Linked DNA regions of Rattus norvegicus. The main gene of each other region encodes a partner of the protein of the gene in region 3 in a complex. Links are inferred from orthologs where the notes say so. Each region holds a gene or a part of one and is shown on either strand. Other genes may lie near its edges.

What was found.
Region 1: Htatsf1 (region 3) and Sf3a1 share a complex: the UniProt entries of both Homo sapiens proteins name them as parts of the 17S U2 SnRNP complex. The link is inferred for Rattus norvegicus from reciprocal best matches to the Homo sapiens genes HTATSF1 and SF3A1.
Region 2: Htatsf1 (region 3) and Ddx46 share a complex: the UniProt entries of both Homo sapiens proteins name them as parts of the 17S U2 SnRNP complex. The link is inferred for Rattus norvegicus from reciprocal best matches to the Homo sapiens genes HTATSF1 and DDX46.
Region 4: Htatsf1 (region 3) and Sf3a3 share a complex: the UniProt entries of both Homo sapiens proteins name them as parts of the 17S U2 SnRNP complex. The link is inferred for Rattus norvegicus from reciprocal best matches to the Homo sapiens genes HTATSF1 and SF3A3.
Region 5: Htatsf1 (region 3) and Sf3b1 share a complex: the UniProt entries of both Homo sapiens proteins name them as parts of the 17S U2 SnRNP complex. The link is inferred for Rattus norvegicus from reciprocal best matches to the Homo sapiens genes HTATSF1 and SF3B1.
Region 6: Htatsf1 (region 3) and Sf3a2 share a complex: the UniProt entries of both Homo sapiens proteins name them as parts of the 17S U2 SnRNP complex. The link is inferred for Rattus norvegicus from reciprocal best matches to the Homo sapiens genes HTATSF1 and SF3A2.
Region 7: Htatsf1 (region 3) and Sf3b4 share a complex: the UniProt entries of both Homo sapiens proteins name them as parts of the 17S U2 SnRNP complex. The link is inferred for Rattus norvegicus from reciprocal best matches to the Homo sapiens genes HTATSF1 and SF3B4.

Annotation. Positions count from the first base shown.
Region 1 is NC_086032.1:83,261,471-83,264,970, reverse strand, and holds part of Sf3a1 (splicing factor 3A subunit 1), read right to left. Parts: intron 3,472-3,500; coding exon 3,214-3,471; intron 138-3,213; coding exon 63-137; intron 1-62. UniProt on the Homo sapiens protein: Component of the 17S U2 SnRNP complex of the spliceosome, a large ribonucleoprotein complex that removes introns from transcribed pre-mRNAs.
Region 2 is NC_086035.1:8,976,604-8,980,103, forward strand, and holds part of Ddx46 (probable ATP-dependent RNA helicase DDX46), read right to left. Parts: coding exon 3,421-3,500; intron 2,049-3,420; coding exon 1,935-2,048; intron 975-1,934; coding exon 809-974; intron 310-808; coding exon 189-309; intron 1-188. UniProt on the Homo sapiens protein: Component of the 17S U2 SnRNP complex of the spliceosome, a large ribonucleoprotein complex that removes introns from transcribed pre-mRNAs.
Region 3 is NC_086039.1:139,971,592-139,975,541, reverse strand, and holds the start of Htatsf1 (HIV Tat-specific factor 1), read right to left. Parts: upstream 2,801-3,950; 5' UTR 2,599-2,800; intron 2,582-2,598; exon of another isoform or gene 2,411-2,581; 5' UTR 2,355-2,410; coding exon 2,169-2,354; intron 818-2,168; coding exon 637-817; intron 307-636; coding exon 259-306; intron 1-258. UniProt on the Homo sapiens protein: Component of the 17S U2 SnRNP complex of the spliceosome, a large ribonucleoprotein complex that removes introns from transcribed pre-mRNAs.
Region 4 is NC_086023.1:142,250,936-142,255,206, reverse strand, and holds the start of Sf3a3 (splicing factor 3A subunit 3), read right to left. Parts: upstream 2,801-4,271; 5' UTR 2,738-2,800; coding exon 2,642-2,737; intron 2,366-2,641; coding exon 2,318-2,365; intron 2,019-2,317; coding exon 1,966-2,018; intron 1,865-1,965; coding exon 1,759-1,864; intron 723-1,758; coding exon 650-722; intron 1-649. UniProt on the Homo sapiens protein: Component of the 17S U2 SnRNP complex of the spliceosome, a large ribonucleoprotein complex that removes introns from transcribed pre-mRNAs.
Region 5 is NC_086027.1:63,999,220-64,002,719, forward strand, and holds part of Sf3b1 (splicing factor 3B subunit 1), read right to left. Parts: intron 1,904-3,500; coding exon 1,724-1,903; intron 1,372-1,723; coding exon 1,285-1,371; intron 1,188-1,284; coding exon 917-1,187; intron 651-916; coding exon 505-650; intron 406-504; coding exon 259-405; intron 1-258. UniProt on the Homo sapiens protein: Component of the 17S U2 SnRNP complex of the spliceosome, a large ribonucleoprotein complex that removes introns from transcribed pre-mRNAs.
Region 6 is NC_086025.1:9,563,400-9,567,667, forward strand, and holds the start of Sf3a2 (splicing factor 3A subunit 2), read right to left. Parts: upstream 2,801-4,268; 5' UTR 2,762-2,800; intron 367-2,761; 5' UTR 331-366; coding exon 205-330; intron 96-204; coding exon 24-95; intron 1-23. Other genes in the region: Plekhj1 (pleckstrin homology domain-containing family J member 1), read left to right, coding at 2,897-3,075, 3,189-3,438, 3,679-3,745. UniProt on the Homo sapiens protein: Component of the 17S U2 SnRNP complex of the spliceosome, a large ribonucleoprotein complex that removes introns from transcribed pre-mRNAs.
Region 7 is NC_086020.1:186,420,278-186,424,466, forward strand, and holds the start of Sf3b4 (splicing factor 3B subunit 4), read left to right. Parts: upstream 1-1,389; 5' UTR 1,390-1,626; coding exon 1,627-1,660; intron 1,661-2,037; coding exon 2,038-2,166; intron 2,167-2,610; coding exon 2,611-3,153; intron 3,154-3,378; coding exon 3,379-3,585; intron 3,586-4,189. Other genes in the region: Mtmr11 (myotubularin-related protein 11), read left to right, coding at 123-269. UniProt on the Homo sapiens protein: Component of the 17S U2 SnRNP complex of the spliceosome, a large ribonucleoprotein complex that removes introns from transcribed pre-mRNAs.

The DNA.
Region 1 (3,500 bases), on a different chromosome or scaffold from region 3:
AACAAAACCCACACATTGAGAACCCATGCATTGGTTTCTGTAATAGGAAATCCTGTGTTTACCTGGTCCAAAACTTCTCGGGGATTTTCAGCCTCTTTCTTGAGCTTTGCAAATAAGCCTTTGGGTGGAATCAAGATCTGAAAGAGGATTAGAACAACTGTCAATGTATCTCACACAGTTTAAGACAAAGAGGCAGTCTTCCTGGGCCCATCAAAGGACACAAGAGATGGATTCCAGATGTAGGGTTTGGGGCAAGTTATATAACAACTAGAATGCGCTTTTCCTTCTCCAAATGTTGACGCCACCACTTAAGAAAGTACCTCTAGAGAAAGCCATTTCCAGGATTCCTAGTCAAGTACTCAAGCCATAGGCAGGTTTCCTAGAACATGCTATTTTAGCTGCTTAAGTGACACTGATGTATGCCCTGCTGTCCTGTTCAGGACTGCAGCTACCTCTTCCCTTTCTTCCCAGTATTTCCATGCCTTTTACCCAGAGTACCTATCTCCATCCGACACAGGCTCCTAACCTATATGCTCCTACCCACTAAGGATCTCCATCAAGACAGATTCCTGTCTTCTTGTGATTAGAACCACAAATAATGTCTAATGTGCATTTCCCGAGGAACAGAACACTGACTGCCTTTATTCTAACAGCCATTCCAATCCTCCCACAATATCTACTTCTACTCACAAAGCAGCACAATTTTACCTTCCCATCCTTGGACTTCTACCCCTAGAATCTATCTAGAACAGCCTTCTCTAGTGCCTTCATGTTATGAGTCAATACCAATATCCAAAGTTAGAGGAAAAAACAAAAAAAATAACAAAATAGATATCTGAGAACTTCTAACTATGGAAGTTCGAATTGGACCTACACCATACTTAGAACTGACTTAGAACTGATACTATGGGCTAAAGAGATAAGCAGCAGCTAAGGGCCTGTTCTTCAGAGGACTGTGTGTGATTCTCAGAACCCTCGAGGTGGCTCACAAGCATCTGCTAAGTCCAGTCCCAGGGCATCTGATGACCATTTTCCACTCCCATGTCACACACATAAAATAGAAATAAATAAAACAAAATTAAAAAATCCACAAACCCCTGAGACTGTATACCTACAGATTTCTGTGGCTTAGGGTTTCAGTCATTGTTCTACTGCTCTACTAGATTCTAGATTTGGTCATTTTCTAAAGACACATTTTTAAATATTTCTAACTTTATTCTTCAGAGCAAATCCTTATGAGTCCTTTCAACTTAGATCTCTAACACTGTTTCTAAATATTAACAGTAGATGTAGACCATGCCACTAAAAAGAAAAACAAGAAAAATGTGCCGCTGGTAAACCTAAACCAGGTGAATAGCCTTTGTAGCATATCAAACATTTTATTGTTAAAGCGTAAAGTCTCGAACTCCTAGTAATCCTCATGCCTCAACCTTCCTGGAGCTGGGATTAGAAGTGTTAGCTTCTATATCCAGCTCTCTGATTAACTTTCAATATTAGATTACTGTATCAGATTCTTTTTGTAAAAAAACAGTTTCAGTCTGTAGGCAAGGCTGTTCTAGAACTCACAATGCAGCACAAACTAGCTTTGAACTCAGCGATCCTCCCTTCTCCTGAGTGATGAAATTTCAGCACTCTGGAGGTTGAGGCAGGCAGACTGTGAGTTCAAGGCTAGCCTGGTCTACATAGTGAGTTTCAAATGAAACCCCACTACATGAGGAGACCCCAGTCTTTTGACAAACAAACAAACAAGCAAACACCACCAACACCACCACCACCACCACCACCACCACCACCGAGTGCTAAGACTAACGATATGCACCCCATGCCCGGCTTGCTGTGTTGATTCATGACTGCAGCAGTGCAACCTAGGGTCAGGAGTAATAAAAAAGGGCCAGCTCTGCAGCCTGTGTGGCTCCAGCCAGGATAACTGAGAGGCAGGATAACGGCCTTAAACAGCATCAGGCCCTTTGGGAAGATGCTGCAGTGATAGCAGAGTCATACTCAACGTTTCCTCATGGAAGTTACTCCACAGGGTCAAGACCGCAAAGACTCGAATCTCAGCGACCCTGCTTACAAGCTTGAACCCGCACATATCATGACTGATTTCACACCACATTCGTTTTTGGTCTTTTTTTCTCCAGCACAGTGCTGAATCCCGCACCTTATGCATGCTAGAGAAGTGTTCTACTACTGAGGGGTAATTAGAGCCCCATGAAATCATCTTTCTTAGCCTGTTTCTGCTTGTGAAAAGTTGAGAAACACCACTTTAAAAGTTCTGTGAGGTTTAATTAGATAACAGGAGGCAACTGTTAAGAGCTTGCTTCTCAGGCCCTGTAGCAGACAAGTGGCAATGCACGGACACCTAAAAGCAGAGAGGGCTATGTAGTCTTGTCACACAGCAGATGGCCACCTAATAACAGCAATTTATAAACACATCTCTTCAACACCAAGAAGTATTTAAAGAGATAACAATACAAGCTGGGTGTGGGGGCCCATACCTTTGATCCCACAGACAAAAGATCTCTGAATTTGAGGCCAGATTGGTTTAAATATTGAGTTCAAGGGTCAGTCAGGGTTAGGGTTACACAGTCAGACCCTGTCTTAGAAGGAAGGAAGGAAGGAAGGAAGGAAGGAAGGAAGGAAGGAAGGGAGGGAGGGAGGGAGGGAGGGAAGAAAGAGAGAAAGAAAGAAAGAAAGAGAGAAAGAAAGAAAGAAAGAAAGAAAGAAAGAAAGAAAGAAAGAAGGAGGGAGGGAGGGAGAAAGAAAGAAACGAACGAACTCAATACTTAATCCCAGCACTCAGGTGGTTCTCTGAGTTTGAGGCCAGCCTAGTCTATAAAACTAGTCCAGGACAGCCAGAGCTGTTACACAAAGAAAATCCTGTCTCAAACAGAACGACAAACGAAAAGACTCAGAGCCAAGGAGATGGTTGACAGGGTAAAAGCACTTGCTATGCAAGCCTGATGTCCTAAGTTTGATCCTCAAGGAAGGAGAACTGAAAGCTGTTTTCTGATGCCAAGTGCACTCCATGGCAAGGCACAAAAGCACCTACACAGTCGTACATTTCCTCCTCCTCACACACATAAATATATAGACTTTTTAAATCAAGACTCTGGATCAAGCTGGGATTCACATTTCCCCGGATGACGCACAAAGCAAGTATCCTGGTTGACAGAGAGCGGAAGCTGCAGCACCCTGTACCCAACCCAGCACCTTGGTATACTGCTCCACCAGCTTTGTGAAGTAATTGAAGAGGCTGTGCTGGGGTCGGAGAAAGTCAAACTGGTAGTTGCGCTGTTCTTTCTGCATCAGCTGGGTCAGAAACTGACGCCCATTCCTGGCCACAAACTGAGCTGTCAGCTTCACTACATCCAGGTCGAAGGCTGAGATGGAGGGGGGGTCAGCGATGAACTCGAACTCAGGAGGGGGCTCCTTCGGTACTATGGTCTCTTGGATCACCTGGGCTTGGACCTAAGACAGAGTGCAGAGCAAAACACAAC
Region 2 (3,500 bases), on a different chromosome or scaffold from region 3:
ATGGCACTTAGCAGGGAGAAGCAAGAGCCTCTGTGAGTTCAAGGCCAGCGTGGTTTACATAGTGAGTTCCAGGACAGCCAGGGCACATAAAGAGAAACATAACTGAAATCCAGAGAGATATGTGTGTGAAGGGCTACTACCCGGAGTAGCAGGGACACTGAAAAGTGCAGATAACCACCAACACTTACTTTTTGAGGGAATTCAGTATCTTCATGGAAATTCCACACTGGACCCATGATTTAATTGGCTTGGGGCAACCTTTTCCTTTAACTGTAATGCCCTCCATTTCCAACCGAAACACATTCACCTCTAGAAAACAAAGGCCCAGTCAGAAGCTCCTACACTTTGTACCATCTAGCCACATTCACTAGGCCGTCTGTCAAGGGTCAGAGGCCTCACCTCCCCTAAGTGCTATCCAATAGACATACAAGAGCCATACAAGAGCACCCAGCACACGGTAATCACTGCCACAAGACATGAGGATAACAGCAAGTGCCCAATTTCAACATTTTGGTTTTAATATTTTCTTCAATTGCAACAGAATGATTGACAGCCCTGTTCTAGCCAAGTCGCCCGGATTGTGCTCAGCAGACTGACAGCTGTCAATCATATGAACAGGGCCAGCACAGTCTGTTGGAATTGGACATGAACGGTACTTTAACCCAGAGAACTATGGAACTAACTCCATTCTGCACTTCTTAAAACACTTCCAAAGCCAAGCCAGGCCTGTGCACACTCCTACACTCCGCTGAAGCGACCGTTTGCTCAGAGGTCACAATAAAGGAATAAAACTTGTAGAACTTCTTACCTTCTTGAGACATTTTCGCTAATTCTGGAACTTCAACGTAAAAGTTTTTTCTGAATGGCTCATACTCAATTTTCCCATGATCCACTGGCTCTAGAAGCTTTCTCTGTTTTGTCTGGTAGCCTGTGAGGGCCGTCTGAAGGTCAACCTCTTCCTCCTCCGAGGAGTACTTGAATTTTCAGGAATAAAAAGTAAAGTCTGTTATTTATTTCATCTTCCGGAAGTCAGAGTCCTGGTTGCCAAAGCTCTCCTCTCTCCTAGGAACCACTGTGTGCATCGCTGTGTGTGATCCCACTATGTGCTATCTAATTCTGCAGGGTTTCTGTGCAACTCCAGGAACCTGGAAACTGCATCATCTAAAAACCTCAGGTCCTCAGGTAAGAATGTCCATGATTTTGAACTTGAGTATATAAATCCTTAAAAAGTTTTCAAGTTAATTTCTTTCTCTCTTTCTTTCTTTCTTTCTTTCTTTCCTTCTTTCTTTTTAAAGATTTACTTATTTATTACATATGAGTACATTGTAGCTGTCTTCAGACACACCAGAAGAGGGCATCAGATCTCATTACAGATGGTTGTGAGCCACCATGTGGTTGCTGGGAATTGAACTCAGGACCTCTGGAAGAGCAGTCAGTGCTCTTAACCGCTGAGTCATCTCTCCTGCCCAATTTCTTTCTTTCTTTCTTTTTTTTTTTTTTGGTTCTTTTTTTCGGAGCTGGGGACCTAACCCAGGGCCTTGCGCTTCCTAGGTAAGCTCTCTACCACTGAGCTAAATCCCCAACCCCCCAATTTCTTTCCTTATTCAAAGCTTTAATGTAGCACTGGCCTCACACGACTCTGTCAGGAAGTTCTACTCTTCCCTTAGCCAGACCTTTAGAGTGCAAGTCAACTGGAAGACGTGGCCGTTCACTACTTTTCCTGTGTTCTATGCCCAACATGGGCCAATCAAGAGGAGGGAGTGAAAAAGGATACAAGAGGACAGATCAGAATATCCCACAACCCCGCCCGCCCACCACACCCCTGCTGAGACTGAGAGCAGCAGGGACCCCCACAGGAGTCTATGACTGCAAAGCTTTGCTAGAAATGTCCCCAGGACACGATCATATACAAGGCAAAAGGAAGGCCGCCTCACCTCCATGGCGTCCTGGTCATTCTCCATCAGCTCTCCCTTCTTCTTGTCGGCATCTACTACTGCTTTCTTGGTTGTTACCACAGTAACCACTTTCGTGACAGTCGGTCCGGACTTCTAAAATAAAAAAAGTATTAAAATATTTTGCAAAAGCTAAACAAAAAATAAAGAGATTCAAAAATACATGAACACTAGATACAAAATGTTAGATTCCCACAATGTGCAATTCAAACTACCATGATTTGTGTTTTTAAAGGAGCAAGAGAGCTGTGCTTTTGTCCTGTGGGAACTTCCCAATGTGACGGCATGACAGTTCAGACACACTCAGGTACCCAGAACTGACTGCAGAATACGTATGTGTATACAACATTTTTAAAATGTATTTTTATGTGTATGGGTGCTGTGCGCTACACTTGTACCTGATGCCTGAGGAAGCCAAAAGTCAGTTTCCATTGTGAGTCGCCATATTGGTACTGAGAACTGAACCTAGGTTTGCTGCCAACAGCAGCAAGTTCTCTTAACCCCTACGCCGCGTCTCCAGGCCCAACATGAGACACTTCACTACGAAATGGGCTCATTCCTCAACATTAACATATTTTTTAAATTCTACTAAATGTTGTGTTTCACTCATTAGACAATCCAGCCCTGTTCTGAGGAGCTTAAATCAACCAATAAAATACACTGAGGTCCTTACTTCCTTGATGCCTTAAATGAAATTTTTAATTTTTTCCCCAAGTACCCTCCAGGCACAAAACAAAACAAAAAAGCATCCTTTTAAAAAAAACTGTACTAGGGGGTTGGGGATTTAGCTCAGTGGTAGAGCGCTTGCCTAGCAAGCGCAAGGCCCTGGGTTCGGTCCCCAGCTCCGAAAAAGAAAAAAAAACTGTACTAATTTATGTCCTTGCCCATGTCTAAGGACCACACGCACATGCGCTACCATGTGAGGTCTGGGAATCAAACCTGGACCCTCTGGAAGAGCAGTCAGAGCTCTTAACTGTCTTAGTCAAGTCTCTAGACGTGGGACTGCATTTTTTTTTCCGACCAGGCAGACGGCTCAGCAGATAATGGTACTTACTAACAATGGAGAAAGGAGCATACCCTTGCCTTTGCAAGTTACCTTCTGACGCCCACAGTCCCAGGCACACTGTGCTGTGCTCATGCCTCCCATCTCACCCCACCCCCAACCACCACCACTTAGGAAATAACTGCAATAAAAACAGCTTAGTCCAGTTCTTTTTTGGTTGTTTTGTTTTTGTGAGACGGAGTCTCTCTATGTAGTCCTGACTGTCCTGGAACTCAGAACGCACTATGCAGACTGCGCTGGCCTGAAACTCACAGAAATCACCTGCCTCGGCCTCCCTAGTGCCAGGATTAGAGCTGTGCACCACCCACCCCTCACTACAGCCTAGCTTCCTTCTTTGTGATCACCTAAGGTAAAGAGCCCAATAACTTTTAAGTGACAAGTGACCAATGCCAGACGTCCACGTACCTTCTCATTTCCTGCGCCGCCTTTCACGCTCCTCATGTTAAACTTTTTTACCTCTTCTTTCACTTCCTCCATGTAGGCAT
Region 3 (3,950 bases):
TCACATTTTATATATTAAAAATATCAGTTATGCTATGCGTATGTTTCACTAAATGTAAAGGAACAAATTGCTGTGAATTCTCTAAGGCAGGCATACAAAACAGCATGGAACACTGCATAACTTTTCTTCAATCCCTCCTCATTAAATTCCAGCTAGCATAAGCAGGTGAACAAAACACACCGAAACTAAAACTCACTTAGCGCAGTTTCAACACTAAAGGATACCAACGTGAAAACTGCACTGCAACAGGATAAATACCTGACACATATACATTTGTATTTCTGTCTTCTTCAACATGGAACCATCCTAAAAATCAAAGGGAAATAAATAAAACACTTGAAACAAACAACAAGAATTACATTAGGAAATCTTAGCAAAGGCAGTTTCTTCAAAGTTTTAGAATGTCCTCTTTATCTCAGACAACTACGCCTAACTCAAATCCCTACGTATCTTCCAAAAGACATAAACCTTTTGACTGAGAATTACCTTTAGCGTTCTTTCTATCCTTCATGACTATAACCCTATCTTAAAGTGAAAACTCACATTATCATTCTTGCCTCCAACATGTACAATGGACTCACTCATTTTTCCTATCTCATTTTTAAACCCGGACTTTGCAAAGACAGAACCACTTGCCAGATTCAGCCTTTCTCTTTTCTCCCCTCTTTTTGGAGTCAGTGGTTTCCGGGATTTCTTTCTGTGGCGGCTCTTCTACAGTCTTAGTGTTGGCGTCCTGGACATTCCCAGTAGAGCTGGGTGCACCATCACCAGAAAAGCCGTAGTTGGCCTGATACGAAGCAATGAAATCTTCGGTGATCTAGATAAATAAGTCAACACATGGACGGACAAGGTGACTTCACTTGTGGAAACTGTGTTACATTCAACAATATAAGCTAAGACTTAAACAAGTGTTTATACCACAAGTAGTTCTACTAATTAAAATATAATCCAAGACCAGTCACCTTATACGGAAAACGTGTAGTGCAATCAAAGTAGGACAAGGGTGCTCAGATTGCCAAAACCACACGCATAGTTTTAAGTGATGCTACCACTTTTTTCTACATTCTTGTAAACTACTACTTCTTTACAGTATATTTAACAAAAGTGGCCAATACATAAAACAAAAGAAGTATCGAATAACAAGATGGTAAAACCCAAAGTCCACTAGCAATCTATTGCAGTATCTACTTTTGGGTGCCCAGATACCAAATAATAGTTTGTCAGACTATTATAAGTGCTCAGAAAGAAATCTCATCTACATTCGAAAAGGCATTGCAAGTCCAGAAGTTCAATTGTAAATTTTTACAGTTTGGGGTGCTTGAAATATGCGCAAATACAAAATCAGAAAGAATAGCTGAAATAAAGAATTTTGGAACCAACAATCAATCCCCCTGCACAATGGAGAAAAGTTGTGTGTGATTGGCTCTCCAATCGCTTGGTGTGCTGTTAGTACCCTTTGATGCCAAAGTTCCCATGAGGCTAAAACTAACAGAGTACTTTCACCCTACAGTTTATAACACCGGGTTCAACACCAGTTGTGTTATTTCCATGCTGAAACTAAACACTTAGCAATTCCCAAGTACTCGGAAACAAATGTAGAGTTCTCTTTCATCCATTTCCTGCGCATTCCTAGTCATACTCCTGTGCTTAGAGGGTCCAAACTTAGATGTCCTGGAACAAAATTTAGTAGAATAATAAAACAAAACAAGAATCAAGAAAAGTTTATTCGGCAGAATGAGCTGAATGACTGCTTTCTGACCCGGTAAATCAACAAGCTACATTAGGCACAAGCATGTACACGAAGCGTAAGTTAAGTTTGGTTATACAGGATAAAACTCTTATTAATGTGTTTTTCTTGGTGTTTTTCCTCTTTGCAGTAAAAATATCCAGATAAAAATGAACTGTGACCTTCACACACACACACACACACACACACACACACACACATACACAAATTAATAAGACATTAAAAAAACACACTTAAGGCACCACTCTAAGATTTACTTTTCTTTATACATCGGGGCTGCAATAGACTGAACAGACTAGCCACCAACCACCAGTTCAAAGACCAAGTACTTCAGCGGAGCAAACATAAGAGGGATGTCCCGCAAAGGTGGTCAGGGAGCCCTATGTCCCGCTCCACAGTGGGACTCAAGCTACTCTCTTACCTTAGGGAACCAAGCCTTCTTATCAAGGTCCCACTCGTAGGGAGTGTCATCTGGTGGTTGTCCCAAAGAATCAGTTTCTCCAGAGGGCTCATTCTGGGTGTCACCTTCCTTGGGGTCTCCGTACAATTCTTGCATTCGCAACTGCTCATCAAATTCATCGTTCCCGCTCAAGTTGCTGCCACTCATGGTTCTCACGTAGTCCCGGACACAACGGTCAGAGAAGTGAAGAGGCCAAAAGGGCGCTGGAAGAGAGCAGAGAAAGAGAGGTCTGCAGAGCTCAGAACGTGCACTGCAACTCCCCGGCCGCCTCCCGCAGCGCCCCAGCAGACCCTGGGAAGTCTAAGCGGTACCACCCCAACTCCGCCCTCCTGCCCGCCCCACTCGCGCACGCATGCGTCTAGAAACTGCCAGCGCTGTCGCCGCCACCCACCTGGCGGACTCCGCGGGGTCTCAACGCCACCGCTAGGTCTAGGGCGAGGCGGAAGCGCGCAAGCGCGCGGTTACCGCCGCGGCTGGCTCCGGGGGCACTACAGCTTCCTCCGCCACGTCAGGCAACTATTTGAGAACGAAGTCCGCCTCAGACTGATGCGGTCGCCATTGTCCGCGCGTGGCGACGTAAGGATCGCTCGACACGCCCACGTGGCGTCATATGTCCGCGACGCTTGCGCGGACAGGGGCGGGGTTTCAAAGCCTGGCTGCCGCCGCGTGTCCATACTTAATGGTAACTCGCCTTAGAGACGCAACCTGCAGAAATGCGTGGCACCTCGGGAACCTTGGGCTCCTCTGCACTCCGGACGAATTTCGCCGCAGCGATTGCCTGAAAAAGGACGCGGAACTCTTCCAGACGAGCTGGCTGTGTTTGGGCTTTGCGGCAGGCGCCATCTTGGGGAGGTGGGTGGGACCGTGGGACAAGTTTCTCCCGCTTCGCGAAACCTTTGCGCCTCCTTCGCGCAAATCCCCGCCCCTGCGCAGAAGCCAAGGGTTTACTTATTTTTAAATGCTTGCCCTAGGGTACACGCGGCTTTTGTTCACCTTAGTAACCCAAACACCTAATATACTGTTTGGCGTCTAGTGAAGAAGGAGTGAAAGAAAAGTGGGCAGAAGCCATCGCTTCCTAATCTCACCCCGTTTTTTTTTTTTTTTTGTTTTTTGTTTTTTTTCCGGATCTGGGGACCGAACCCAGGGCCTTGCGCTCGCTAGGCAAGTGCTCTACCACTGAGCTAAATCTCACCCCGTTTTTATGCTTCTGGTACCACCCTCAGACTGCAGTAGGTGAGAGTAGCTTTTGCCTGCGGCTTACTGCAACGTGTCAGAGGTGTTCCAGCCTGGAATTTGAAGCTTGACTGTAAACATCCCCTTGTACAAATAGGAGATGAACCATGTGGCCCCATTTCCTTGTTTCTTAGTAAGACAGCCTACTGCCTTACTAAGAAAAGCGGGACTTTTCTCTTAGATGTTTCATGTACCTCGAAAAGGGAAGAGGTCCATATTTTTAAAACAGACAGGCATTTACTGAACTATTAAGTGCCAGGGGGCGATTCTGAGGCAGCTGCTGAGAAGACAGATCAAGGGAGGTTCAATTATAGTTGGCGAACAATAGGGTGGAAGCACCAGATGCTGGACAGCAGCAATTACTTTGTTTTATTTTGTTTTCAGCATCCTTTAATACTCAAAAACTAGACAATTCTAAACAGCTTTTTTTTTTTTTTTTGGTGTGTGGACTACGTTTATCAACAAACAACAACGTCTGTTGCCATAATGTTAACTATGCAAGTAAAATTT
Region 4 (4,271 bases), on a different chromosome or scaffold from region 3:
GCTAGAGAGAAACTTTGTCTCAAGATAAACAAAATAATGGGGCTAGAGACATAGCTCAGCGGTTAGGAGCAATGACTGCTCTTCATTAGGACCTGAGATGAATTCTTAGCATCCACATGGCAGTTCACAACTGTCTGTAACTCTGAGATCTGATGCCCTTAAACATACATACATGTAGGCAAAACACCAATGCAGATATAAATAAATGAATAAATAAATATCAACAAAAAAGATATTAACTCACCATACAATTAAAAAAGAAAGTCTGGCCTTTATTTAATCCAGAGAACTGTCTGACTCCTGAGGGCTGAGATTAAATTTATACTCATCACAATCAGCCTTTATTTATGTTTTTAGAGACAGGCTCTTGGGTTCAGCAGTTAGGAACACTGGCTGCTCTTGCAGAGGTCCTGAGTTTGAATCCTAATCCCTACACGATAGCTAGCCATTTGTAACTATAGTAGGAGTAGATCCTTCCCCTGGCTTCTTTAGGCCATCACACACACGCGTGGTATATAGACATACATGCAGGCAAAACAGCCATACAGACAAAATTTAAAAAGAGGTTAAGAAAAAAAACATAGGTCGTAGCTATATAGCTCAGAACGGATTTGGATTCCCTAGAAAGAAACATCAAGCCATTACTTACTTTGTGCCTCTTCACTTGGATTCTCTCGAGCTTTCAGGAGCTCCTCGAATTCCACCGACATTGGCACACAGATCTGGTGGGAGAGAAAAGCTCAGGTGGGTCTGGCAATGTCTCAGGCTTGTAGTACAGGGCTGGACTGCTTTTTTTCACTGATTGGTTAATCTACAAGATTTAGTGTGAAACTATTCATCTACTGGGCTTCTTTTAAATCCAAACATACAGTCTTTACCATCAGTTTATAAAACACTCTTAAAACATCAATTTGTGGAGTTTCCTATTTGGTTGTCCATGTACATCTAGATACTGTATTAAAAAAAAAACCGTTCAACAAATTTGTTCTATTTCTTTAAATCTACCAAACATAAAATACAAATAAAATGTTTGACAGGTTTTTTTTTATATACATATTGTCTCAAATGTCAGGAATTTTTTCTTTAAAAGCCTGAACTATATCTCATCATAAGCACACATATTTACAGTATATACATATGCATATTATACTTGCAAGTCTTTAAGGCTGGGCTTCTAATGCTCGCTTTGACCTTAAGTGTACAGAGGAGCTCACTACTTAGTGTTCTCAGCTTCCCTTGCTTTATAACTGGGCAGACGTCTGATTCCTTGCCACAAATACAGCATCCTAAGGAAGGACTGCCTTGGAGGAGGTAGTCCACAAGAGATATTTTACACGAGTTCTGAAGGTGCACTGAACTCTGGGAATGAGCACAGTACAATTGTGTTGGTAGATTTCAAGCCAGAGCTAGGAGCACATTGTATTGGGTGGGAGAAATTCTTAAGAGAGATAAAAAGGAAAAAGTAAGTTTGGGTAGGGGGAAAGCTACTATGAGGGAGACAAAATTGGAACTAAACCAATAAAGAACTCTGGTGCAAAGGTCACCCGATCTCTCACTGGACAGAAAGAAATAGGCTCTAGTGCTTCCTGTGTTCTCTTACTGCAGAGGAACACCAGGAAGGATGTCGCCTAACTGTGCTCACTGCAGTGAAGTGGCACGTTCTTTCTTGGACAGACATCTATATGGCATGCCACCATTTTCCTCGCATCTTTCCTTTTTTTAAGGATAGGTCTTGGGAAACTACTTTGGGAGCCTCACCTCATTTGGGTGCTTCCGATGAAATTCCTTTATCTGCTTCAGTCTGTTATAGAATTCAGCAAACTCATTGGGTCCTGAAATAGCATTGAGCTCCTCCTTTCGTAATCTGCAAGATATCAGCAAATTCAAAGTGCATAAAGCACAAAGGCCATCATTTCACCATGGCTCCCCTGAAGCACTGTTAGAAGGGATGTGACTGTCACTTACCCATCCTTATCATCATACAAATCCCTCAGGTTCCCACTGACCTCCATGTATCTCTGAAACGCAAACACAAAGCCATCAGAATGGAGCAAATTTGTACAATGGGGCTAGGTAAACAACAAAGGGAGTCTTGGCAAGACCCAAGGAAACCTCACGGGATACAAAGTCTTGAAAGTTCCACCACTTTTACAACACAGCCCGAACCCAGAGTAGTCGCCCACACTTTTGAGAGGCAGAGAGAGGATATCTGACTAAGAACCCAGGGGCAGGAATCACGCTGAGCCTCCAAACCTTCCCTGCCAGCACTTTTCCCGCCCAGCCAGACCCAAAGGGAAGCAGACAGCGGGGCACTCACATCTTGCATGGCCCTAGTGCGGTGATCGGAATTGATCTGGTCCCGGAGCTGCAGAAAGGCAAACGGTAACACATACGTTGTTACTCTGAGTTCAGGAGTTGGAAAGGCCACCCGAAGGATGAGCTTATTGGTTTAGGTCTCAGGGGCTGAAGCAGAAGGGCTGCTGGGCCCTCGGAAGACGTTAAGGAGGCCAGAGCGCCCAGACAGCTTAGGAGGAAGATGAAGATGGGGCGCAGGGAGGGTCTGAGACCAAATAAAACGCCGAGAGCTCCGCTGAGGGCCGAGGCCCTCCTACTGATGCGACCCCGACCACTGTTCACTCACCGTGGACTTCTTAGTGAGCATTTCTTTGGCCATAACATCCATAAGCCGTTCTTTCTCCTCATGATAGCGCCGTTGCTGCTCTAAAATTGTCTCCATTTTCTCTTGGCCGCGGTACTTCAATTCAGACCGCTAACACTGCCGGAAACACTGCCTGCCGCCTTGCACGCCCGTGTCTCTGAGCGCAGTATCCGGCTGCACCAAAGTTCCGCGTGTCCCGGAAGTGGCTTGGGGGACTCAAGAAAAAATGAACACCACAAAGAGAGCAAGTCGATGCTACCGGCGACAGTAGCTACACTGCCCCCTGCTGGCTGGAGGTCTGAAAACGCGATGCTTCAGCGATGAAAGATGTCTCTAGGTTGCCTGCAAGAATCCTGCAGGCTGAGGGTGAGAGACAGCTGGCTTGCCTGAGGCTTGCTGCAGACAGCTGGGCCGGCTGGGACACACTAACATTTGAACCGATAAACTGAAGGATACAGACAGGAAAGGGGACCTGGAAGCTCCAGTTTTCAGTGTGTGACCTCTGGTGATGTTTTCCCCTTGTCTGGACTTTAGTATGTCTGTCAGTAAAATGCAGATGGTGGTGATTTTGTTCTTAACAAAAGTCATACTTACTCATACTAAAACACAACCTTTGTTTATTAGCAGAGGAGTCTTTAAGAAAAATGTAGTACACTCAAGCAATGGTAGGCTTGCTATTTGATACAGGTTGGCTTCTGATTCTCTGTAATTCTTAATTTTTCTGCTTTTCGCAGAAACTTGCTGGAATTACAGGTCTGAGCCACCATACCCGGCCACTGTATGGCTTAGAAAATGAAATCTAGGCTGACTTTCTTTGACAGAGGAGGAAGAGGAGGAGGCAGAGGCAGGAAGATCTCTGAGTTCTAGGCCAGTCTGATCTACATAGTGAGTTCCAGGACAGCCAGGGCGACATAAAGACCCGGTCTCAGGAAATAAACACAAACAAACAAACAAACAAACAAACAAACAAACAAACAAACAGAATAGGGACAAAGCGTGAATTGGTATAGAGTGCCTGTCTAGCATGTATTGGGAAAAACAGCTTTAGAGCAAGGTCGAGTGGCTCACACCCGTGATCCAGACTTAGGGGACTGAGGTAAGAGGAAAATAAGTTCAAGTTCAGCCTGAGCTATGTGATAAGACCCTATCTCAAAACAACATATACACGCATGCACGCACGCACAGATACACGCATGGACACATACGCGTGTGAAATCCAAGGTACAGGTTTCAACATCAACACAAGAAAAGGGACTCTACTACATGCCTACTCTAGGCAGAGAAATGAAAACATTGTCCATATGCTCCTGTTATTCATAATTCACCAAAACTGCATGTAACCCAAGAGTCCATTAATTGGGATTGGAGATATGGCTCGGCAGTTAAGAGCATTCGCTGCTCTTCCGGAGGATCTGAATCCAGTTCCCAGCACGCGAGTCAGGTGGCTAACAACCACTTGCATCTCCAGGTCCAAGGAATGACTGGGCACCCTGGTACACATGCCATCCACTCTTACATACATACACACCTAATTCATGGGTGAATGGATAAACGTGTTATCAGAGGACACTGTTCAGCAGTGAGGGAACGCTCTAAGGAACCATGAAAGCAT
Region 5 (3,500 bases), on a different chromosome or scaffold from region 3:
AAACACAACTGCTGCTCACCCACGAGACCTACACAATCAGACTCAGTTATGAGTAGGTACCCAGACCATTTTCACAATGCAATCCAAATGTTAGCAATGTATTGAACCATGTATCCAAACTGCAATAACTTTTATAGTGTGAAACATAGATTTGTTTTGTTTTGTTTTGTTTTGTTATAAAGATCTCTTTGAACTTCCTAACACATGCACAGTGTGCTAACAAACATGTGCCCACAAACTGAACTACTAATTCCTTACCTTCAAAACAATTTTCTTCATTTCTTCATCAGGAGACTGGAATTCTCGAATAAGGATTAGCATCACTTCTCTAGTATAGTAGTTGGCATATTCTGCATCCATAAGAGGAATAAGATACCCAATAGCCTTCAAGAAAGCAGCCAGACCCTATTTAAAAGTAAAATATATACATATACACATATCAGTACATTAATTTTGGGTTATCTTAATGACTAGCAACAGAAACAGATCTAATGCGCAGATTACCTTTCCTCTATGTTGGCGAATACCCTTCCATAGGGGCTTGAGCACAGAATCAAAAGACTCAATACCATAAGGAGTTGCTGCCTCAGCCAAAGCAGCAATGGCCAGAGCACTGATGGTCCGAACTTTCTGCTGCTCATCCACGAGACCTATACAATCAGACGGTTATGAATAGGTACCCAGACCATTTTCACAATGCAATCCAAATGTTAGCAATGTATGGAACCATGTATCCAAACTGCAGTAATTTATTTTGCAGTACATATAATTTAGACAAAGGCAATTTGTTAACAGAAAATATTACAAACCCCATTTCTAAATATAATGTTTGTGTGAGGAAAGCCTTTCATTTATTTTACATATACACCTGCCCCTATCAGGACAGCTGATCTATAAACGACACATCACCACTTACCATGCTCAATGATTTCAACTAAACTTCTGAGATGTGGCAAGATAGCACAGCCCATGAGAATGGCTATCTGTTGTACAATCTTAATACCAGTGTGCCTCGCTTGCCAAGACTTCTTGCTTTTACACACAGCTTTCAAGAAAGGCAATAAAGAAGGAATGCCCAGAGCAGAGGCTACAACAGCAAAAGCTCTAGCTGTTGTGTTTCGGACATATTCATCCATGTTATCTATATCAGGTCTCATGGTAGAAATCATAGTAGCCAGACCAGCAGCCTAAAAGGAAAAGTTACAACAGCAGCTTTAGTTAGTACCATTAATCCTCAACCCATGGAAAGACAAACTTCCTTTTCTAGGAATTTAATGTGAATACCTTTGCCAAATTAGAAATAATTTCTCGGCCTTCCACTCTAGCATAGTAATCTTCATCAATCAACAGTGGCTCGATAACCACAAGAATCTGAATGAAGGAAAAAGAAAGAATTACATTTCCACATCAATTTATCAAAGACATTTGTTAATGGAGAAATAGATTAAAGAGTTTTAATTCTCTGGCAGTAGTGACACATTCCTTTAATCTGCACTCAGGAGGCAGAGGCAGGTGGAACTGAGTTCAAAAGGGCAACCTGGACTACAGAACAAGTTCTAGGTCAGCCAGGGCTACACACACACACACACACACACACACACACACACACACACACACACACACACACACACACACGAGAATAACAACTTCCATATTCCACACAGTGCAAAATAGAACCAGAAAAATAAAAGTGAAACCATTCAACACTAGAGAACAAACCAACCTTGTGCACATATGGCCGCACCAAGTCATCAAGTTTATACAATATTCTGTCAATAACTTTCACAAGTAAATGTCGCTCTTGATCCTCAAGTGTAGGGGACATCAATAGAGGCAGAATCTGGTTAAACAGTGGTCCAGCTCCAAATTCTCGAGCTTTATCAGTAATCTGACGTAAGGCAGCCTGAGGAAAATCAATGGAAAAGAAAGTTATTTTTTATGAGCAAACACACATTCCAAAGTGGCAAATTTCACCAGGAATAATAATATAATTTGCACTTTTGTAGACAATTTACATACAGTCGTCTGAATTCATTTCTGTAAACTTTTAATATTCAAACTCTAATGGTCTAAGTTCAACACTATCAGCTCATTTAAAGGGGGCAATTAATTTAGTGGCAGTTGAGGTCTGAGGATAACGGTGCTTATCGCAAGACTAACGACTCCACTTCAACCCTGAGATCCAGACAATGAAAGGAGAGAAACAACTTCCAAAAGCCGTCCTCTGAAGCATCCTGGAGCACGACCCTACCTGTCCCCTTCACATATCTATGCACCATGCACACACACATGCATGTGTGTAAAAAATAGATGAGCATAAAAGAAAAAGGGGTAACTTAGAGCACTAGCAAGATTCCTTCCTCAGGGTGTAAAGGGTAATGGCAGGCCACCAAGCCTAATGATCATTTGAGTTCAATCCTAAGAACCCACACAATAGAAAGAAAGAACTGATTCCTACAAGTTATCCTGACCTTCTACCTGTGCTCCATGTGCACATGCCCATAAATAAGATTTTTTTTAAAGATTTATTCATTTATTAAATATAAGTACACTGTAGCTGTCTTCAGACACACCAGAAGAGGGCATCGGATCTCTTTACAGATGGTTGTGAGCCACCATGTAACCACATGGAATTGGGAATTGAACTCAGGACCTCTGGAAGAGTAGTCGGGTGCTCTTAACCACTGAGCCATCTCTCCAGCCCAAGATTTTTTTTTAAATAAAGAAAAGGATAATTTAGTAGAGCTATGGAGCTATCTATACAAGCTTAAACCATATGCCTTAGTTCTGCCTGAACAACCTTCTTCTATGTTCAAGCCACATTTGGTTGTTACAAGTCATAATTTCCACTAATTACCTCTAAGTTCTAAACACTTTAAAGCTGTCAAGGACAAAAAGAATTAGCCATCTCATATCCTTATCAGAACAAAAAACTCCTTTGATTAGAAGTTAAATTCACTGAGCTTGGAGCATGAGTGTGTAATCCCAACCAGTACTCCAGGATAAGAGGCTCCAAAGCTCAGTCCTGCCTGAACAAGCTAAGATCACGCTAAGCAACTTATCAGAGAGCATATACAAAGTCAAAAGGGAAGCAGAGCAGAGTGTCATGTCTTATTCTGCTAATTCCACTACCTGGGTAACTAGGCAAAAAGAATGGCTATCAGTCTAAATTCAGCCTGGGCTACGAGTTTCAGGCCAGCCTGGGATAGTTTAACCAACAAAAATAATGAATATAACAAATCAAACACTAGGACTAGGAATCAGATGTGGTACACACCCCCAATTTTATTAAATAAAGGTGATGCATTATCTTTAATCTGAGCACTTGGGAAGCAGAGGCAGGTGGACCTCTGCAGGTTCTAGGCCAACCTTGTCTACCTAGTAAATCACAGAACAACCAGGACTGTGTAGAGACCCTGTCTAAAAAAATAAAAAGCTGGGCTGGGGATTTAGCTCAGTGGTAGAGCGCTTACCTAGGAAGCGCAAGGCCCTGGGTTCGG
Region 6 (4,268 bases), on a different chromosome or scaffold from region 3:
GTGGAAGTCTGGTGGGCAGGTACCTCATTGTTATGCAGAGTCAAGCAGAGTTTGCACTCATAGGATCCCAGGTGGTTCTTCATGAAATACGGGTCCTGGGAGTGAAGAAATGTACCGTGAGACCGCACAGCCTGGCCCCGGGACCCAAGGACCAAGGTGGGCAAGGTGAGGGCTCTGCAGGCCTGGAGACTCTCCCTCCCCCACCTTATTGATGTCGATGGTTTCCAGGGCCAGTTGCCGCAGGCGCTCTCTTCGATCCCGGTTGCTCTCTGAGGAGGAGGCCACGCCCCCACTCCCAGTTTTGCCTCCAGGTCGGTGCTGAAAGTCCATGATGCAGGCCTGGGTACTTTAGGGGACAGGAGAAACCTGGGGAGCAAGGAAGACTAAGGCTTAGAACCCTGCTGATGATGCTAGGACCGCGGGATGGCCCAGCATGCAAGCCATCCCTTCTCTGACCTCCTGATCCTCCCAAGTGCTGTGACTACCATTGAGCCGCCTCTCCCTGATGTAACATATGATTACTATTATTGTTGTTGTTATTATTGAGGGAGGAGTCTCTACGTAGTCATGGCTATCTTAGAACTCTCCTCACACATTAGGCTGGCCTCTGCCTACCTCTGCTGGCATTAGAGGACACACCCTCCTCTGCCTGACACAAGGAATGCTCGATACCAAGGGTCTCACCTTGGAGGCTCAGCCAAAGCCTCCAGACAGTGTTACCTGAGGCAGAACACTTAAGACTACTCAGTCTACTGGTAAACCTACAGTAAACCCAGGGCCAGCGACCAGGAGACAAGTAGAGACAGCTCTTGTCATCATCACTGGTGCCTCCCATAGCACAAGGGGCTCTACAAATGTGACCAAGAACCTTGAGGGCAGGTACCCAGTTACTACAATGTCACTAGAGTGTGCTCAAGGCTGACAGGCCACTGACAGCACTGGCTGTCAAGGAGGAAGAGGCCAGAAGGCAAAGGATACAGGATGCTCTAGGTGCTGAGAGGGACGGCTTGAGAGGTGTACACTGAAGTGGCGGGACAGGAGCAGCCTATTAGATGTTTTGTACTCAGCCAAAGACTGAGAAGGGCATCGTCTACATCATCCAGAGCTACCAACAGACACACTCCCAGAGATGAAGCTGGCCAGACACGAGAGTACAGCCAAACGGTGGGAGAATCAATTGGCTTCTCAGAGTTAGGGGCACCCACAAGCAGCAGCAGCAGGATGGAAAACCACTCCAGGCTCAGGCAAAGACAACTCTTGAGAACATAGGACTCTGTGGCTGGCCTCCCCAGGGAGGCTGGGTGTCCATCCACAGACTTGACGGTGCCACTCAAGGAGAACACTTGTCCAGCATGCACTGGGTCCCCTGGGGGGGCATGCTTGAGGTTGAGTGCATGGATATCCACTGCAGAAATGTAGTTCATCAGCTTTGGAAGGAAAGCAGAATAAAACTGGCCTGGGTGAGCATACTGCTTGGCCCAGTGGATGGAGCACAAAGTTTTGCAAACGCTCACCAATGAACTACCGCCTCAGCCCACCAACAGTTCCCAACCTCAGGAAACAGAAAACATGGGGCATGGCAGTGTATACATTTCCTTCCAGCTCCCTTAGAGGCCAAGGTAGAAAGATGATGGGTATAATTTGAGACCAAACTGGGCTGTGCAGTGAGATCTGTCTCAAATAAAAGACAAAAGGGTGCTGGGTAGGCTGGCAAGATGACTTAGTGGCAGATCACAACCACCAGAAACTCCAGCTCCAGGGAACCTGACAGTCTCTCCTGGACTTGACGTTATCATACTCACACATGAAGCTCCACATGGACACACATTTGGAAAAAAAATCTTTAAAAACACGGGAAAGGGATTCCAATACCAGCTTTTATCTGCTTCCTGACTATGGCTGTAACACGACCACCATAGTGGACTGCACCTTCATACTATCAGTCAAAATAAACCTTCCTTAAAACAAAACAGTCAAGTGTAGTGGCACACGCTGTAAATCTCAGTATGCGGGAGGCAGAGGTATGGGAGTGTATGTGAGCTCGAAATCGGCCTAGTCCACACAGGGTTCCAGGTCAGCCTCAGTTATGCCGTGAGACGCTGTCTGAAATAAAGTAAAATTGTGCCGATGACTGGATGGACTCACAAGTGAAGCCTGGGACAAGAGACCAGGATGAATGGTTGGGAGCCGTGCGACCTCACGGACTACTCTAAGATTACCGATGAACGATCAATAGAAACAGAAGAGTAGTATATGTTAAGGTCACGGTCTGGGAGAAGGCCTGCCTGGTCTAAAGGCAAATCACTTTTTTTTTCTTTTTTCTATTTTTCGGAGCTGGGGACCGAACTCAGGGCCTTGCGCTTGCTAGGCAAGCGCTCTACCACTGAGCTAAATCCCCAACCCCGCAAATCACTTTTAAATGCATATACCGTTATCTTTTAATCCGAGCAACAGACCTACTACAGTGGACAGGAGCAGTAGTCGCCATGGCCCTGACTAACGGCGAGGGAAACTGAGGCAAACAAGCAGGTTAAATGACATTCCAAGAACCCGAACCACCCTAGAGGCCACGGAACCGCCACAAAAGTCCGCGATCACGCCACGACTCAAAGGACCTCGCGAGACCGCGCTCTTAGGGCGAGGGTGCGCCACGCCTAAGGGGAAAGGGCGGCCGCTGCCCCGCCAGGCCCCACGCTCTCGCTCCTACTTTCAAGACCCACAGACGGGGCAGCCGCCACCGACAAACCGCGTAGTTCCTTACCAACACCAAGGCCTCGGTAACTGGGCTTAACCTCCCCGAATGCCGCGATTTTGTTGTGCGCATGCGCACGACCGCTTGAGCAATCACTTCCGGGGGCAAGGAAGGCGGAGTTTCATGTGTGCGCATGCCCAGCGAATGGACTCCCCCTACGGGAGGCGGGAGAAAAAAAAAAGAGCGCCGGGACACGGAGTACGCGTGCGCACTGCATTGTCTACGAATTCTTGCTCCGCCCTAACTCTGTTGGCGCTGACTATCGCGACAGGACTTAAACCTCAGGGTTCACAGGCCCGGGAACGAGCTTCGCGTATCGTGAGGTGCTATGAGTCTAAATTTACACCCCACGTTCAGTGTGTCTGACGGTTATTTAAGGACGGGCGATTTCCTTCCCGTCCGACTCCTTGTTCTACTGTGCTGACCCACCAACTAGCGTCACGCAACACGCCCAACAACGCGCAGGCGCAGTAGCACCGTTGGGACTTACGAGGTCGCTTCCTGAGACTTTTGTGGCGCTAGTAGCGGCTTCGGGCAGGACGGCGGCCGAGAGGCAGGGCGCGTTTTGGTTCGCGCGGATCCGGGCGGCGAGATGCGGTACAACGAGAAAGAGTTGCAAGCGCTGTCCCGGCAGCCGGCAGAGATGGCGGCCGAGCTGGGCATGCGGGGCCCCAAGAAGGGCAGCGGTGAGCTGGTCCGGGCCGGGGCTGGGACACTTGGGCGGGCCGCGGGGTTCCCCGGTGGGCGGATGACAGCAGTTGCGCGCTGACACCGCCCTCTGCCTGCAGTGGCCAAGAGGCGGCTGGTGAAGCTGGTGGTCAACTTCCTCTTTTACTTCCGCCCGGACGAGGCCGAGGTAGGGGTGTGGGGGGCGCGGGGGACCCGCGCGGCCCAGAGGCCGGTGCTCATGGCCGTGTCTCGCGCAGCCCCTCGGAGCCCTGTTGCTGGAGCGCTGCAGAGTGGCCCAGGAAGAGCCGGGAGGCTTCTCCATCAGTAAGTGTTCTGTTCCCCACTTTCCACCCCGGACTCTGCTCCGCGCACGCGATCCTTTTTACTCCCTTAGGAATCTCCATTTGTCCTGGATCTCGCGTCCGCTGGTGGCCCATGACTGTCCCAGCTGTCACTCAGAGTGACCACTGGGTCAGGTTCTCATCTTAGTTTCTTCCCCGATCCTCTGCCGGTTTACGGCCGAGAGAGGTGCAGTCTGTGAACTTGGTGTGTATAACTGAAGCAGTCTCTGCCGTGGGAGTGAGTGTGCGGGCAGGGCTTTGAGGCCTTGAAGGACACCTGTCTCAGCCTTCACCTCTGGAGAGGTCTTTCTGCTGCGTACCTTGTAGAGATTTGTCCATCGTGTCTACCTCTGTCATCCAGTGGGGTTCTCCATCTGTACCCCTATTTTCTGCTTCTTGTACATGTGCACGCATGGGTTTCTGGGTGTGAGTATGCCAGAAAGGCCAGCGGAAAACTTGTGTAGTTGGATTTCATCTTCCACTGTGTAGGCCTCCAACATAAAACA
Region 7 (4,189 bases), on a different chromosome or scaffold from region 3:
ACAGAGAAACCCCAGTCTTGAAAATAAAAACAGACAAACCTGAGAAAAAAAGAAAAAGAAAAAAGAAAAAGGAACTAGACCTGTGACAATCTCTCTTTGCACCTTCCTTTGCCTCTCCCCAGATAGGCTCTTCAGCTCTCACAATCTCTGGCCTTCAAGATGAGCTGTCTCATCTTCAGGAACTATTAAGAAAATGGACACCAAGAATATCTCCGGAGGACCACAGCAAGAAAAGAGATCCAAATACTATCCTTTCTCAGATCTGCTGAAACTGCTAGCCATCTCAAAGGCAGGGCAGAGGGCGGGGGTTTGTTTCTGCTGATGTTTATGTCTGACCTTGGTGCTTCGGGTTTGGTATTCCAGTCTGTAAAGCTCACTTAGTAGGCCAGTTTCTGTAGATGGTGCTACCAACCTCCAGCTCTCCTGTCTCGTTTGGTTCCTGGAGCTATTTTTGTTTCTTGTGATTTGAAAAATAAGAAACAAAACCAATTCAGAATGATTGCCTTTTTTCGAGGCAATTCTGTGCCATTTGGATGGTTGTCAAAAGTATGATATCAGAGACCCTTTTCATCAGCCCCAGCAAGGTGTCCTAGAGACCTCATTCTCAACCCCTCAACACTACATTGAAATCTTTTCTTAGTCTTCTGTGGGAATGAGGTGAATAAGGGAGACACCTCCTCCTCCCACTGTATATTTTTGTAGCAGCATTTCTATTTAAGGAGTTCATTAAAGCACAGTATTTCTACACATTGCTGGTATTTTCTTGTATTGAATGAAGATCTCAGCAAAGCGGTGGTGGTTGTGGGGTAGTGTGAACTGAGAAAAGGACACTTATTATTGTAAGGAAATAAAGGATTGGCAGGGCTGGGCAGAATGCACATGAAATATTGGGAAAGCCCCCCCGCCCCACACACACATACGCACACACACCTTTTTTGAGACAAGGTCTCTCTGTATATCAGGCTAGCCTGGAATTTTTTTTTTTTTTTTTCCGAGACAGATTTTTCTGTGAGGCCATGGCTGTCCTGGATCTCGTTCTGTAGACCTGGCTAGCCTTTAGCTCAGAGATCCACACCTGCCTCTTAAAGCTTCAATACCTGCCTGTGAGCACCCTCGGTCTCAAATTTCCCAAGATTGGAGGAGCTCTGACACTTACGGGAAACCAAAATACCTCGAGCTCAAGCCTAGGCCGAGGGCGAATCTGCACGAGCGTTGTGGACCGAATTAAAAATAGGCTGTTTTCAAAGGCAGTCCTGGCCCTGGATATGGCGGGACTTTGCCTAGCACACGTCTCTGCGTCACAGAACATACAAAGCTTGGTTTAGCATTTCAATTTGCGCTTGGGGTGCAGTGTGATGCCCTAACAGTCTGGAAGCATTCAGGGCTTTAGTTAACTGTATCAAGACCGGCTGATTCACTTCTGTTCCACCCCGATTGCTGCGGCAGCTCCAGAGCACCTTTCCCTTCTGTCCGACACGAATCTGACTCCTAAGATGGCCGCGATCGCTTCCGGCTCCTCCCTTGTCGCCGGCCCCGCCCAATGTGAGCCTTGGCCCGGAAGTGGAAGTAGAAACTGAGGTCAGGGGGGCGGTGCTGCTGCTTAGAGACGGCGGGAGCCCTTTCGCCATGGCTGCCGGACCGATCTCCGAACGGAATCAGGGTAATTGGGAGAAAAGAGACCAAGATAGGGGCAGGGAAGTGAAGAGCTGATTAATGCCAGAAGCATTTCTGCTTGGGTGGGAGACGAGATCCCTCTGATGTGAGACCGACCTCTGGGCGCCTGGCTCGCCTCGAGGCCAAGTGGAGGCCCAGGCCTATGAAGAGTGATGCTTCTAGATCCATTCTCTTTAAATACTCCTCTACCAAGAAGACAAAATTCTCCGGAAATACAGGATCAGCAAGAATGCCAAATTAGACGTAGCGGATTTTTCTAGACTGTGGAAGCTGAGGGAATTTCGGGTCTTTAGTTAACGTTTTTGGTTTTTATTTTACTTTTCACTCTTGACCCTCTCCTTACCTCCTGCTTCTTCCCTTTAGATGCCACGGTGTACGTGGGAGGTCTAGACGAGAAAGTGAGCGAGCCACTGCTATGGGAGCTCTTTCTCCAGGCAGGGCCAGTGGTCAACACCCACATGCCAAAGGATAGAGTCACTGGCCAGCACCAAGGTGAGTACATGTCGAGAATTAACCCTGTATAGCGTTAACGGCCCCTGAAGAGTCACAACTCCAGTCACAACTACTTTGGAATGAGCAACCTAAAGGTTCTTTTCCCCCTTAAGCTTCAGTTCAGTTTTTGGAATAGTTTCTCTTAGCACTAGTTACTGGAACCATTCTCAAGTGAAGTAAGATTATTCTTCTGTCATGTTCTTTTTATTGTTTTATTTTCAAGACAGTGGTTCTCTGTGTAGTCCTTGGCTGTCCTGGAACATGCTCTGTAGACCAGGCTGGCCTCAAACTCAGGGCTCCACCTCTGCTCCAGCATGGTGGCATTAGAAGCATGAGCCCCCACCCAGCCCTTACCTGCTTTGTTCTTTGTGTTTGCAAACTGGTGAGTTAATGTTTGATTTTGAATCTCTTCACCTGAGTGGTCTTTTTTCATTGGTTTCCTAGGCTATGGCTTTGTTGAATTCTTGAGTGAGGAAGATGCTGACTATGCCATTAAGATTATGAACATGATCAAACTCTATGGGAAGCCAATACGGGTGAACAAAGCCTCGGCTCACAACAAAAACCTGGATGTAGGAGCCAACATTTTCATTGGAAATCTGGACCCAGAAATTGATGAGAAGTTGCTTTACGATACTTTTAGCGCCTTTGGAGTCATCTTACAGACCCCCAAGATTATGCGGGACCCTGACACAGGCAACTCCAAGGGTTACGCCTTCATTAATTTTGCTTCATTTGATGCTTCAGATGCAGCAATTGAGGCCATGAATGGGCAGTACCTGTGTAACCGCCCTATCACTGTGTCTTATGCCTTCAAGAAGGACTCTAAGGGTGAACGACATGGCTCAGCAGCTGAACGACTTCTGGCAGCCCAGAACCCGCTGTCTCAGGCTGACCGCCCTCATCAGCTGTTTGCCGATGCACCCCCTCCACCCTCTGCCCCCAATCCTGTGGTTTCATCCCTGGGTTCTGGGCTTCCTCCACCAGGTACAGCTTGTAGTTCAGACTATGCCAGTGAGGCCCATGGGAGGGAGGTCAGGGGGCAGAGGAAGCCCTGGAAGAGTAAGCTGTGAAGTCAGTGGGCAGTGAGGGAGGAGTGAGGATGCTGGTGGGAGGGAAGAAGTTGGTGCATGTCCTTAGGAAGCTGGAGTGTAGCATGCTGGGAAAGACATTCTGTCCGATACCACTAATTGTCCTTCATTTCTTAAACAGGAATGCCACCTCCTGGTTCGTTCCCACCTCCAGTGCCACCTCCTGGGGCCCTTCCTCCTGGGATACCCCCAGCAATGCCCCCACCACCTATGCCACCTGGGGCTGGAGGACATGGTCCCCCAGCAGCAGGAACTCCAGGGGCTGGACATCCTGGTCATGGACATTCACATCCTCATCCATTCCCACCAGGTGGGATGCCCCATCCAGGTAAGTGCGCTGAGCTTGTAGAGGGGCCTTTGTACTGCTTCTCCCAGTGCTCTTTGTCTTGGGTGGAAATAGTCCAGAGTCCTTTTCTTCAGAAAACAAACAATACTTTGTACATGTTGGTGTGCTCCTGTGTTATCTCCACCTATAGCTTGTGCTTGGCAAAAGCTCTCAACCTCTCCTCTGCTTCCAAGGTTGCCAAATCTAGAAGACATTTCTGCTTTTGGTTTTTCGAGACAGGGTTTCTCTGTGTAAACCTTGCTGTTCTGGAACTCCCCCTGTAGACCAGGTTACCCTTAAACTCAGGGATCCTCCTGCCTCTGCCTCCCAAGTGCTGGGATTAAAGGCATATGTATTTTTAGATTTTCTAATGTCAACTTTAGCAACCTGGATCAATTCCTTTTTTATGTATGTGTAGATTTCGTGCTTGGTTCTCTTTTCTGTGTTTATCTGTAGTGTTAAATGTGAAGGTTATGATTTATTCTGGGTCTCTGTTCTGAGGTTCTTGGTAGACTAGAAAAGGCTGCTGCTCAACCCACAGTTTACTTTTCTCTTTCCAACACCATCTTCAATGGCTCTCACTTGTAGGAGCCCAGTCCACAACTCT